2 linked regions of the Caenorhabditis elegans genome follow. The protein of the gene in region 1 interacts with the protein of each later gene in a pairwise test. Each region holds a gene or a part of one and is shown on either strand. Other genes may lie near its edges.

What was found. Proteins that work in one complex are often made in the same cells at the same time.
Region 2: the proteins of ddl-1 (region 1) and hsf-1 interact in binary tests that used the Caenorhabditis elegans proteins (3 or more experiments, as listed by UniProt).

Annotation. Positions count from the first base shown.
Region 1 is NC_003280.10:5,646,659-5,649,814, forward strand, and holds ddl-1 (WASH complex subunit homolog 3), read right to left. Parts: upstream 1,227-3,156; 5' UTR 1,217-1,226; coding exon 1,172-1,216; intron 1,123-1,171; coding exon 757-1,122; intron 707-756; coding exon 548-706; 3' UTR 501-547; downstream 1-500. Other genes in the region: F59E12.9 (TFIIS central domain-containing protein), read right to left, coding at 1-122, 170-242, 290-379; sam-4 (BLOC-1-related complex subunit 5), read right to left, coding at 1,530-1,751, 1,870-2,077, 2,124-2,416; F59E12.17 (Anaphase-promoting complex subunit 13), read right to left, coding at 2,471-2,626, 2,700-2,783; putative serine/threonine-protein kinase zyg-1, read left to right, coding at 3,116-3,148. UniProt on the Caenorhabditis elegans protein: Acts as a component of the WASH core complex that functions as a nucleation-promoting factor (NPF) at the surface of endosomes, where it recruits and activates the Arp2/3 complex to induce actin polymerization, playing a key role in the fission of tubules that serve as transport intermediates during endosome sorting.
Region 2 is NC_003279.8:11,958,098-11,964,532, reverse strand, and holds the start of hsf-1 (Heat shock transcription factor hsf-1), read left to right. Parts: upstream 1-2,548; 5' UTR 2,549-2,570; coding exon 2,571-2,798; intron 2,799-4,396; coding exon 4,397-4,616; intron 4,617-5,288; coding exon 5,289-5,422; intron 5,423-5,632; coding exon 5,633-5,766; intron 5,767-6,162; coding exon 6,163-6,297; intron 6,298-6,435. UniProt on the Caenorhabditis elegans protein: Functions as a stress-inducible and DNA-binding transcription factor, playing a central role in the transcriptional activation of the heat shock response (HSR), leading to the expression of a large class of molecular chaperones, heat shock proteins (HSPs), that protect cells from cellular insult damage.

The DNA.
Region 1 (3,156 bases):
TGATGAAAAATCTGCCGAATCAGAATCTGAATCGTCCAAATAATTCAAAATTGGAGGTTTTTCCTTCTTCTCGCTTTTCCGACGTTTCTCTTTCGACTTTGGTGTAACTTCCACGTCATCTTCTGAAAAACTGCCGATAGTCTAATCATTTATTCGAACGGTCGCTCACCTTGTTTTTCCCTTTTATTTTTCTTTTTCTTCCCAGGACGTTCACCTTTCATAAGTGCAAGAGCGACAGGAGCCTAAATTTCAAATAAAGTTTCCATGTGATATTAATTTAATAACTTACAGATTTCATGATGGCATTTTTGAGTAGTTCACCCATGGCTGGGCTCACAAGTTCTGCTTGTGGCGTAGTTACATTTGAATGTGATTTCATTTTGTCTGAAAGGGAAATTAGTATGTATATTATATCAATTTTAAAAAAATGAATAGAAGTATATCATAATCGTTAAAACGAGTTAACAGTGTAGTACATCATATTCCGAAAATTAAAAAATAATGTTTTATACATTTTATGAACCCGTAAAAATATACAAAAAATAAATTAATCAGAGTCAGAGAAGGATGCCGTAGATTCTCCAGAAGATTCATAATTCCGTGAAGTCTGTGCCTGTGGACGAGATGGTTCATCACCGCGTTTCAAAATTGATGGGTCGACGCCTTCGGATTTCATTTTCTGTATTACACCAGCTTCAAGCACTCCCTAAAAAAAATTACAGTATTATTAAAGCAATTTCAAGTGGATAAACTCACCAATTTCAGCATTTTGAAATATTTACTATAAGCCGGGTCGTCTTTGATAAGAACCGTCGTAGTATGTTCTTCTGGTTTCTCTTCCACTGTTTCCTCCACGATTTGTGAAGAGCTGGGATTCGATTCGTGAATTTCGTCTATTTCTGGTGCTGATGATGGTGTGGCGGTGGTTGATTTATCCTCCAAACTCATTCCTGCCAATTTCGATTCCATCAAGCGTAACTTTCGATCGGCAGTGTCTAAACTCTGCTCTGCCTTTTCCAAAATGTCTTCCATTTTATTTCCGAAATTATTGAGCATTTCTGTCATTTTCATGATGAGACAGTTGAATGTTACTGCTGTACGGTGATGATCGATCGGAGGAACCTTAAAAAATTTAGCTTTAAAGTTTTATGATGAGATTTTAAGATATTACCTTGTTCAAATCGATTGCAGGTTTGGTTCTGGAGCTCGCATTCATTGCTGGTGATCTAAAAATTAATTAATGATGCAATTAATTACAAGAAATGGAAATATGAAAAAGGCACAAACCATATAAGTTAGATTCAAAGTAAATTAATTAGATTAATTTGCGAAAAATACTAGAATTTATGATAAATTTAGAAATCAAAATAGGATTGACGGATAAATATGTGCATGAACTAAATAAAAAATCACAAAACGGCAATGGAATTTTGATATTGCGAGAAGAAAGTGAGATAAAGCCTTCAAGACTTTTTGGGAAGGGCGATAGGGCAACAGATTCAAGAAGAGAATAAAAATTTACAAATTAATTATTTTGGTAGATCAACTACGCGGATTTCTTCAATCGGCTCAATTTGATCAATATGACCAATATTTTGATTATGGCGGGGCGTACTTTGAAGTGAGCTATCACTGCTTGGAACGGGAGATCTGTCGAGCACTGAGCCAAGATTAAGAGGAGGAAGACGTTCGTCGGGAGTTAGAATTTCATTAAGCGTTTCAACCATTGGCACAATATCTTCAAGAATTATCTGAAAATTAATTTTTGATAAACGGAGCAAGTTTTTTGAGCAAAAATGTAAGGTGCAACATTTTAAAAATCAATTTTGGTATGATGCATTAAATATTGTTTCTTTTTCTAATTCGCACCTGAATACTACAGATGTCATCGTGCAATTGATTAAGTCCGCTCAATGCAGCCATAAAACCGTCATGTTGTTCTTTATGAGCTCTTGTTTCTTCAATAAGTCTGATCATTTTCGCTTCAACACTCTTGCAAGTTGCTGGAATTTTAGCTTGATCTGCTGCCACTGCTTTCGCATTAACGGCAAAATGTTCTTGTAATCGTGTTGCTAGTCTGAATATGTGACTTTAAAACTTTGAATAAAAGGAATAAATCTTACCGAAAAAAGGGCCGCGAACTGATTTTTTGATGAGTGTAAGAAGCTCCTTGATTCGTTTGTGGATCTCGTTTGCCTATTACGGCTGGAATCACCGGCAAAAAACGGGGAATTTCGGTGAATCTTTTGTAAATTTCATCATCTTCGAGTTTTTCTTGAGGAATATTGCCATCTTTGACCGTGATAATGCCTTTTGATCGTTTAGTACTGGCTCGAGTGAGAAATGAAAAAGACGACTGTTGATTTTGAGGATTAGATGATGTGCCCGCTGTTGACGAGCTTTGTTCGTTTCCCATCTGAAAATTTGTGTAAGAAGTTAAAAAATTACATCAACTTTCACAAACCTTGATTTAATTTTTTGTACTATTGATGGTTGGTCCCATTTGAATTTGATCCAAACCAGTCTCGTTCCAGGTAGTGTTTGGGTCGGCGGGCTGACGAGCAATGGTGGGAATTGCGTCGGTTTCGATATCTGGCTCAAACTCGCGCGGAATTTGAATCTCGGTCTAAAAATGAATAATTTTAATTTCAATACTTACGGGTTTTACACTTTAATTATTCGAAAAGCTTGTCACAAACCTTTGGCAGACGCTGGAATATCCACTCTTTGTCCCACTCTAAAAATGTGTGATCAAGTCGAACTTCTGATGGGACGAACGACATACGATGGCTTTCTCCGAAGTTTCCTTATCCTGTAATCAATAATTTTATGTATTTTTAATCGGAAACGTTTAAAATAAATGGAAAACTCCAAAAAGGAATAAAAAGAAAAATTGTGCAGACCTGGAGAGCGCGTTGAGTTTGAACACATTACGAAACGAGAGACGCAGAGAAAACCGATAACTGAACAGTTGCGCTCTACTGACAGACGACCGAAATATGAATTCTAGTCCCTCGGCCGCCAAAACGGATTTTTCAAACTCCAAATTTATTTTTCCTATTTTTTGTGTTTTTTCATCTTATTTTTAGCGCACCAAGTGTTGATCAACTATGAGATGAGCGGTGGGAAGAGTGGTTCAAGATTGAGTGTAGGTAT
Region 2 (6,435 bases), on another chromosome or scaffold:
GAATTTTCGGAGTAATTGTCCAAAATTCTCATTAAAGCTTCTCAAAAAAACCGTAAATGGGATAAATTAGACTGAAATGACCAATTTTGCCTACGGAATTCTATTTTGATTTAAAAAAAAACGACTTATATGGGCATGTAATTGATTAAAAATTAAATTCGGCTCTTTTTCCGATATATTTAGTGAGTTTTTTGCTAGAAATTCGGTATTTTCAAGCAAATTTTTGTTGATGTCCACTAATTCCAAGAAATAAATTCAAAAGTTTCAAAAAAAAAGCTAAACTTAGCTAAAATCTCTGATTTTTATCTCTGGTTTACGTATTTTTGTCGTTTTCTCCGCGGTAAAAATGGGAAACCCTAAAATTAATGGCAAAAGTATTTAAAAATGCGCAAATTTGTGCTAAAAAATGGTCTTTTTTTTAAGTCTCACATAAATTGCCTAAATTTCTGATTTTTTGGAATAAATGTCCAAATTTCAATTAATGCTATTCAAAAATATCTTAAAATGAAATAAATTGAACTTTAAACACCAATTTTGAGATTTCGGGCCTTTTTAGATTTTGTGTGCCTTTGGATCGCGATAAAACAAAAAAAAAACGAACAATTTTTTGCTTTAAATGATAGAAAATAAACCCTAATAACCGAATATAACTGCAAAAAAATTTTTAAAAATTTTCTAAATTTTTTAATGATTTTTTCAATTTTTCAAAAATCAAATAAATGAGCGAATTAAATTTGAATTCCCGCGCAAATGGCGCGAATTTACAGTTTTTTCTTGATTTTTTCTTTTAAATTTGATTTAAGACAACATTTTTCAATTTATCAGACACTTTTCCGTGAAGAAAACTTGATTTATGCATTTTTTCCGGAAAAATGTATGTATTGGTATGTATTAATACATACAAGAAATGGTATGTATTAAATCAAATTTAAAAGAAAAACTGTGAATTTAGCCATTTGCGTGGGTATTCAATTTTTAAAAATTTGAAAAAATCATAAAAAATTTAGAAAATTTTTAAACAGTTATATTCGGTTATTAGGGTCTATTTTCTTTCATTTATAGCAAAAAAATCGAAAAATTCCGAATTTTTGTGAATTTTTATCCAGAAATTCGATATTTTAATTCAAATTCCAAGGAATAAATGCAAATTGCTGATTAATTCCCGAATAAATAATCAATGATCACATCCAGCCTATCATAAAAGTGTAATGTGTCCCCAGCTGTCCCCAGATGCCCCATCAAAATGGATTCCGAATTATTCAATGTACTATCAAATGCATTGGACAGAGAGCTCATCCTCGGAGCTCCTCCTCTCCCGGCTCCACTGATCTCAAGAAACATATCGAAGAGAGAGTGTAGAGATCCCAGAGAGAGCACACCAATTGCACTTGGGCTCCGCGAGCAGAGAGAGAGAGTTTCTCCGGAAATCCTTTCAACCCACACACAGAGAGAGACTCCAGAGCACCTCTGTTCACTAGCCATCCCTCCTACAATTATCCCAATATTTCACACATTTTGTGGCAATTTTTTGGGTTTTATTCCCGATCTAGAGTATTTCTAGTATTTAAGACATGTATCAAACAAATTTCAAGCCGAGGTACGTAGATTTCTATCCGAAATACTTGGTTTTTACTAAGAAAAGTTTCTCAAAAAACGGAAAAATGACCGGAAATTTGAATTTTTATCGAAAAAAAAATTTGAAAATTGTCGATTTTTGGTCTTTGGTAGCTTATCTGGGAACAGTTGCTCACTTGATTTTCAAACTTTCGTTCAAAGTTGATTGTTGACAGCGTTTGCAACAAATCAAGTATTTGGCTGTAATATTTTGGCACATTGGGAATTTTGAAAAAAATTTGCCGCTTCGAAACTGATTACCGCATTTTTGGCCCGAAAATCGCAAACTTTTGCGTCTAAAATCGGCAAACTGTCGGAATTGAAATTTTCGACAAGTTGCCGGTATTGCCGAATTTGCCGGAAAAAACGGCAAAATTTCCGGCAAATCATCAAAATTGACAATGCCGGCAAATCGGCAAGTTTCCGGAATTGAAATTTCCGGAAAATCAGCAAATTGCCAGAAAATCGGCACATTGCCGGAATCAAAATTTCCGGCAAATCACCGGTATTGCCGAGTTTGCCGAAAAACGGCAAATTACCGGTATTGCCGAGTTTGCCGAAAAAACGGAAACTTTCCGGAATCGAAATTTCCGGCAAATTACCTCTATTGCCGAGTTTGCCGGTAAATCGTCAAATTGCCAGAATTAAAATTTCCGGCAAATCAGCAGATTACCGGAATTGAAATTGAAACAGAAAAATTCTAAAAATTGCCTTAAAATGTGTCTAGAACAGCGAAAAACATCCAAAAACGTGCGAAATTTGGTTGGAAAAATCGATTTTTCTAATGAACTGGCCAGTTTTTGGTATAAAAAACCGGATTTTAAACTGAAAAAGGCGATTTTTGACCTCAAAAACGAATAAAATCCCGATTTTCTTCTGTTTTCCCTCACTTTTTCCATCCAAAAACCCTAATATTTTAATATAATAATTTCAGATACCGCGTGCTAGTTCGTAAAATGCAGCCAACAGGGAATCAAATACAACAAAACCAGCAACAACAGCAACAACTGATAATGCGTGTTCCGAAACAAGAAGTTTCAGTTTCTGGAGCAGCACGTCGTTATGTTCAACAGGCTCCACCGAATCGACCACCACGGCAGAATCATCAAAATGGGGCAATTGGTGGCAAAAAGTCATCGGTTACTATACAAGAAGTTCCGAATAATGCGTATTTGGAGACCTTGGTAGGGAAAAACCGCAAAAAAATGGCTGAAATTTGAAGAAAATAGCCCAAAAATTGAAGGAATTAGCTCGAAAGCCCCTTCTTACGCACTTAAAATTTGTTTTTGAGCGAAAAATTTTAATTATTTGTTGAAAAACCTCAGAAAATGCCTGAAAATTCATGCAAATTACCCTAAAAATGGCTAAAATTCGCTCAAAAACTCATTTTTGCTTTCTTTTTGTACATTTTGCGAAAAAATTCAATTTTTGTGTAAGCAAATCGCCTAAATTGCTCATTTTTTACACAAAAACGTACTGAAAATTCATCAAAAATGACGAAAATTAGCTTAAAATCATAATTTGAAGTAATTTCTATTGAAAATTGAGTTTTACGCCAAAAATTCCGAATTTTTGCTGAAAACCCCCCAAAAAATGGCGAAAAATTAGCTCAAAAGCCTAATTTTTGCTCAGTTTGAGCGAAAAAAAGTACTGAAAACCCCAAAATTCGGTCTAGAACTTCCTGAAAATTCTGAAATTTGGCTGAAAATCTTAATTTTTAGCAATTTCTATTAAAATTTGATTTTTGCCCGAAAAATTCTAAAATTGGGCACAAAAGCCCCCGTTTTTGCCCATTTTGAGCGAAAATTTCAATTTTTTGTTGGGAAATTGCAAAAATTGCTCATTTTTCGATGAAAACTTTCTGAAAAGCTCAAATTTCCGCCTGAAAATTCCTCAAAAATGGCGAAATTCAGCTGATTTATCACGCATATTGTACAGTGCGTGCAACTTCTATAGCGCCCCCTATTTTTTTCGTGTTCCGTCACTTTCCCTAACTTTTTTGAGAAAACCATTATAGCCATTCGATTTCAAATGTCAAAAAACCCCCTGTCCGAAATTTTCATGAAAAAATATCAAAGACTACGGTAATTAGGTCAAAAAGTCTGAAAAACGACCGTGGAACTTCTATAGCGCTCCCTCCAATTTTCGCTATTTTTCAATAAAATACCGAGTTTTATGAGATTTCTGAAAAGGATATAGTATTATATATTGAGAAAAATGATCATAAGGCCTCATTTTTCAAAACTAATTACCGTAGTCTTTGATATTTTTTCATGAAAATTTCGGACAGGGGGTTTTTTGACATTTGAAATCGAATGGCTATAATGGTTTTCTCAAAAAAGTTAGGGAAAGTGACGGAACACGAAAAAAATAGGGGGCGCTATAGAAGTTGCACGCACTGTATTAAAATCTACGTGAATCAGCAAAAAATCCCTGAAATTAGTTGAAAAAGTCGATTTTTCAGCTGATTTTTCTAGTGAATTAGCTAAAATTTTCTAGAAAATTGATGATTTTTAGAAGAATTCTTCCGCAGAAAATTTCAAATTTAGCGGCAAAATTCTGAAAATTGCCGAAAAAAAAAAACCAATTTCACTGAAAATGTACCTAAAACAGCGAAAAAACATCAAAAAATTTGCGAAATTAGTTGAAAAAATTGAAATTTTTGAGAAAATCAATATTATCTCACTCTAAATTTATCGAAAAAATCAATTTTCGCCGGATTTTTCTAGTGAATTGGCTCAAATTTTTCAAAAATTCAGTAGTAAAACGTATTTTTTTACAGAACAAATCCGGAAACAACAAAGTTGACGACGACAAGCTTCCAGTATTTCTGATAAAATTGTGGAATATCGTAGAAGATCCAAATCTTCAATCAATTGTTCATTGGGATGATTCTGGTGCAAGCTTTCATATTTCTGATCCATATTTATTTGGGAGAAATGTTTTGCCGCATTTTTTCAAGCATAACAATATGAATAGCATGGTCAGACAGTTGAATATGTGTAAGTTTCCGAGAAAAAACGGAAAAAAATTCATAAAAAAACTGAACTTTTTAAAATTTTTCACAAAAATCTGACGTAATTAGTTTAGAAAATATCGAAAAATGAATATTTCTGGGAAAAATATCATGAAAATTGACATTTTTGCTGATACTTTCAATTTTTCAGCAAAACTTAACGTAATTAATTTTAAAAAATCCGAAAAATTAATATTTCTGTAAAAAATTGAGATTTCCCTATACAAACCCAAGAAATTACAACTTTTTGGTGTTCTTTTCAATTTTTCCACCAAAACTTAACGTTATTAATTCAAAAAGTATCGAAAAATGGGTTTTTTCTGTTAAAAAAAAGCATACAAATTGTGTTTTTTTTTTGCAGAAATATCCATTTTTTAAAAATGTTTTTGGAATTAAATAAGTCAAATTTTGGTGGAAACATTTAAAAATATCACCAAAAAGTTGTAATTTCTGGGGTTTTTATGGGAAAATTTTTAATTTGTATGAATTTTTACACGGAGATACCCATTTTTCGATATTTTTGAAATTAATTACATTGAAACTTGCTGAAAAGGTTAAAAATATCATTAAAAAGTTGTAAATGTGAGGCATTTTTTTCAACAAAAATACAAATTTTTGCACATTTCGAATTTAATTTTTAAATTTAAATTTATTTCAGACGGCTTCCGAAAGATGACTCCACTGTCCCAAGGTGGTCTAACTCGAACAGAATCAGATCAGGATCATTTAGAGTTTAGTCATCCGTGTTTTGTACAAGGACGTCCCGAATTACTATCACAGATTAAGAGAAAGGTACAGGAAGCGGCAGAAGCTCAGATTTTTCAAATTTCTATCATTTTTTCATCTGCAGATATTGCAAAAATTCACTGGTTTTTGCTTAAAATTTGAGTACTTTTTGCGAAATTTCGCTTTTTCTACACTAAATTTGCGAAAAAGTAGAATAAAGATGATAATTTTTGAAAAAAATTCCAAACTTTTAAATTTTAACTTATTTTTTTGCAGCAATCGGCAAGAACTGTGGAGGACAAGCAGGTTAACGAACAGACGCAACAAAATTTGGAAGTAGTAATGGCAGAGATGCGTGCGATGCGAGAAAAGGCAAAGAATATGGAGGATAAGATGAATAAGCTTACAAAGTTCGTGGAAATTTAAGAAATGGAGAAAAAAAGAGCAATTTCGTCCGGAATTTCAGTTTGAAAACTGAGTAATCGGCTTATTCCACCCTAAAATGATTGAAAAAAGCTCAAAAATCGTCCGAAAAGTGGAAAATTGAGCGAAAAAAAACGATTTTTCTTTGTAAATCCCATAAAAGTGCAAAAAAAACACACACTTTTGTTTGGATTTTTCAATTCAAATGGAATATATTCTGTTCTGAAAATTCTGAAAAGCACCTTTTTGACACGAAAATTGCTCAAAATTTTGCGGTTTTCGAGCGACTTGCATCGAATTTTTGCCAATTAAACAATTTTTTGTTAAATATAAAATATTTGAGACGAAAGGAACAATTTTATATAATAATTCCATTTTTGCAGAGAAAATCGCGATATGTGGACACAAATGGGCTCAATGCGTCAACAACATGCTCGCCAACAGCAATATTTCAAAAAACTTTTGCATTTTCTCGTCTCTGTCATGCAGCCAGGATTGTCGAAGCGTGTCGCGAAACGGTAATCAATCTGTCGTGTTTCGGGCAGAAAAATCCCAAAAACTGTTTAAATTTATCGCAAATTTCTCGAAATGGCTAAAATTAGCTTAAAACTCACATTTTGCATTTTTTTTTTTTGCACATTTTGAGCGAAAATTGT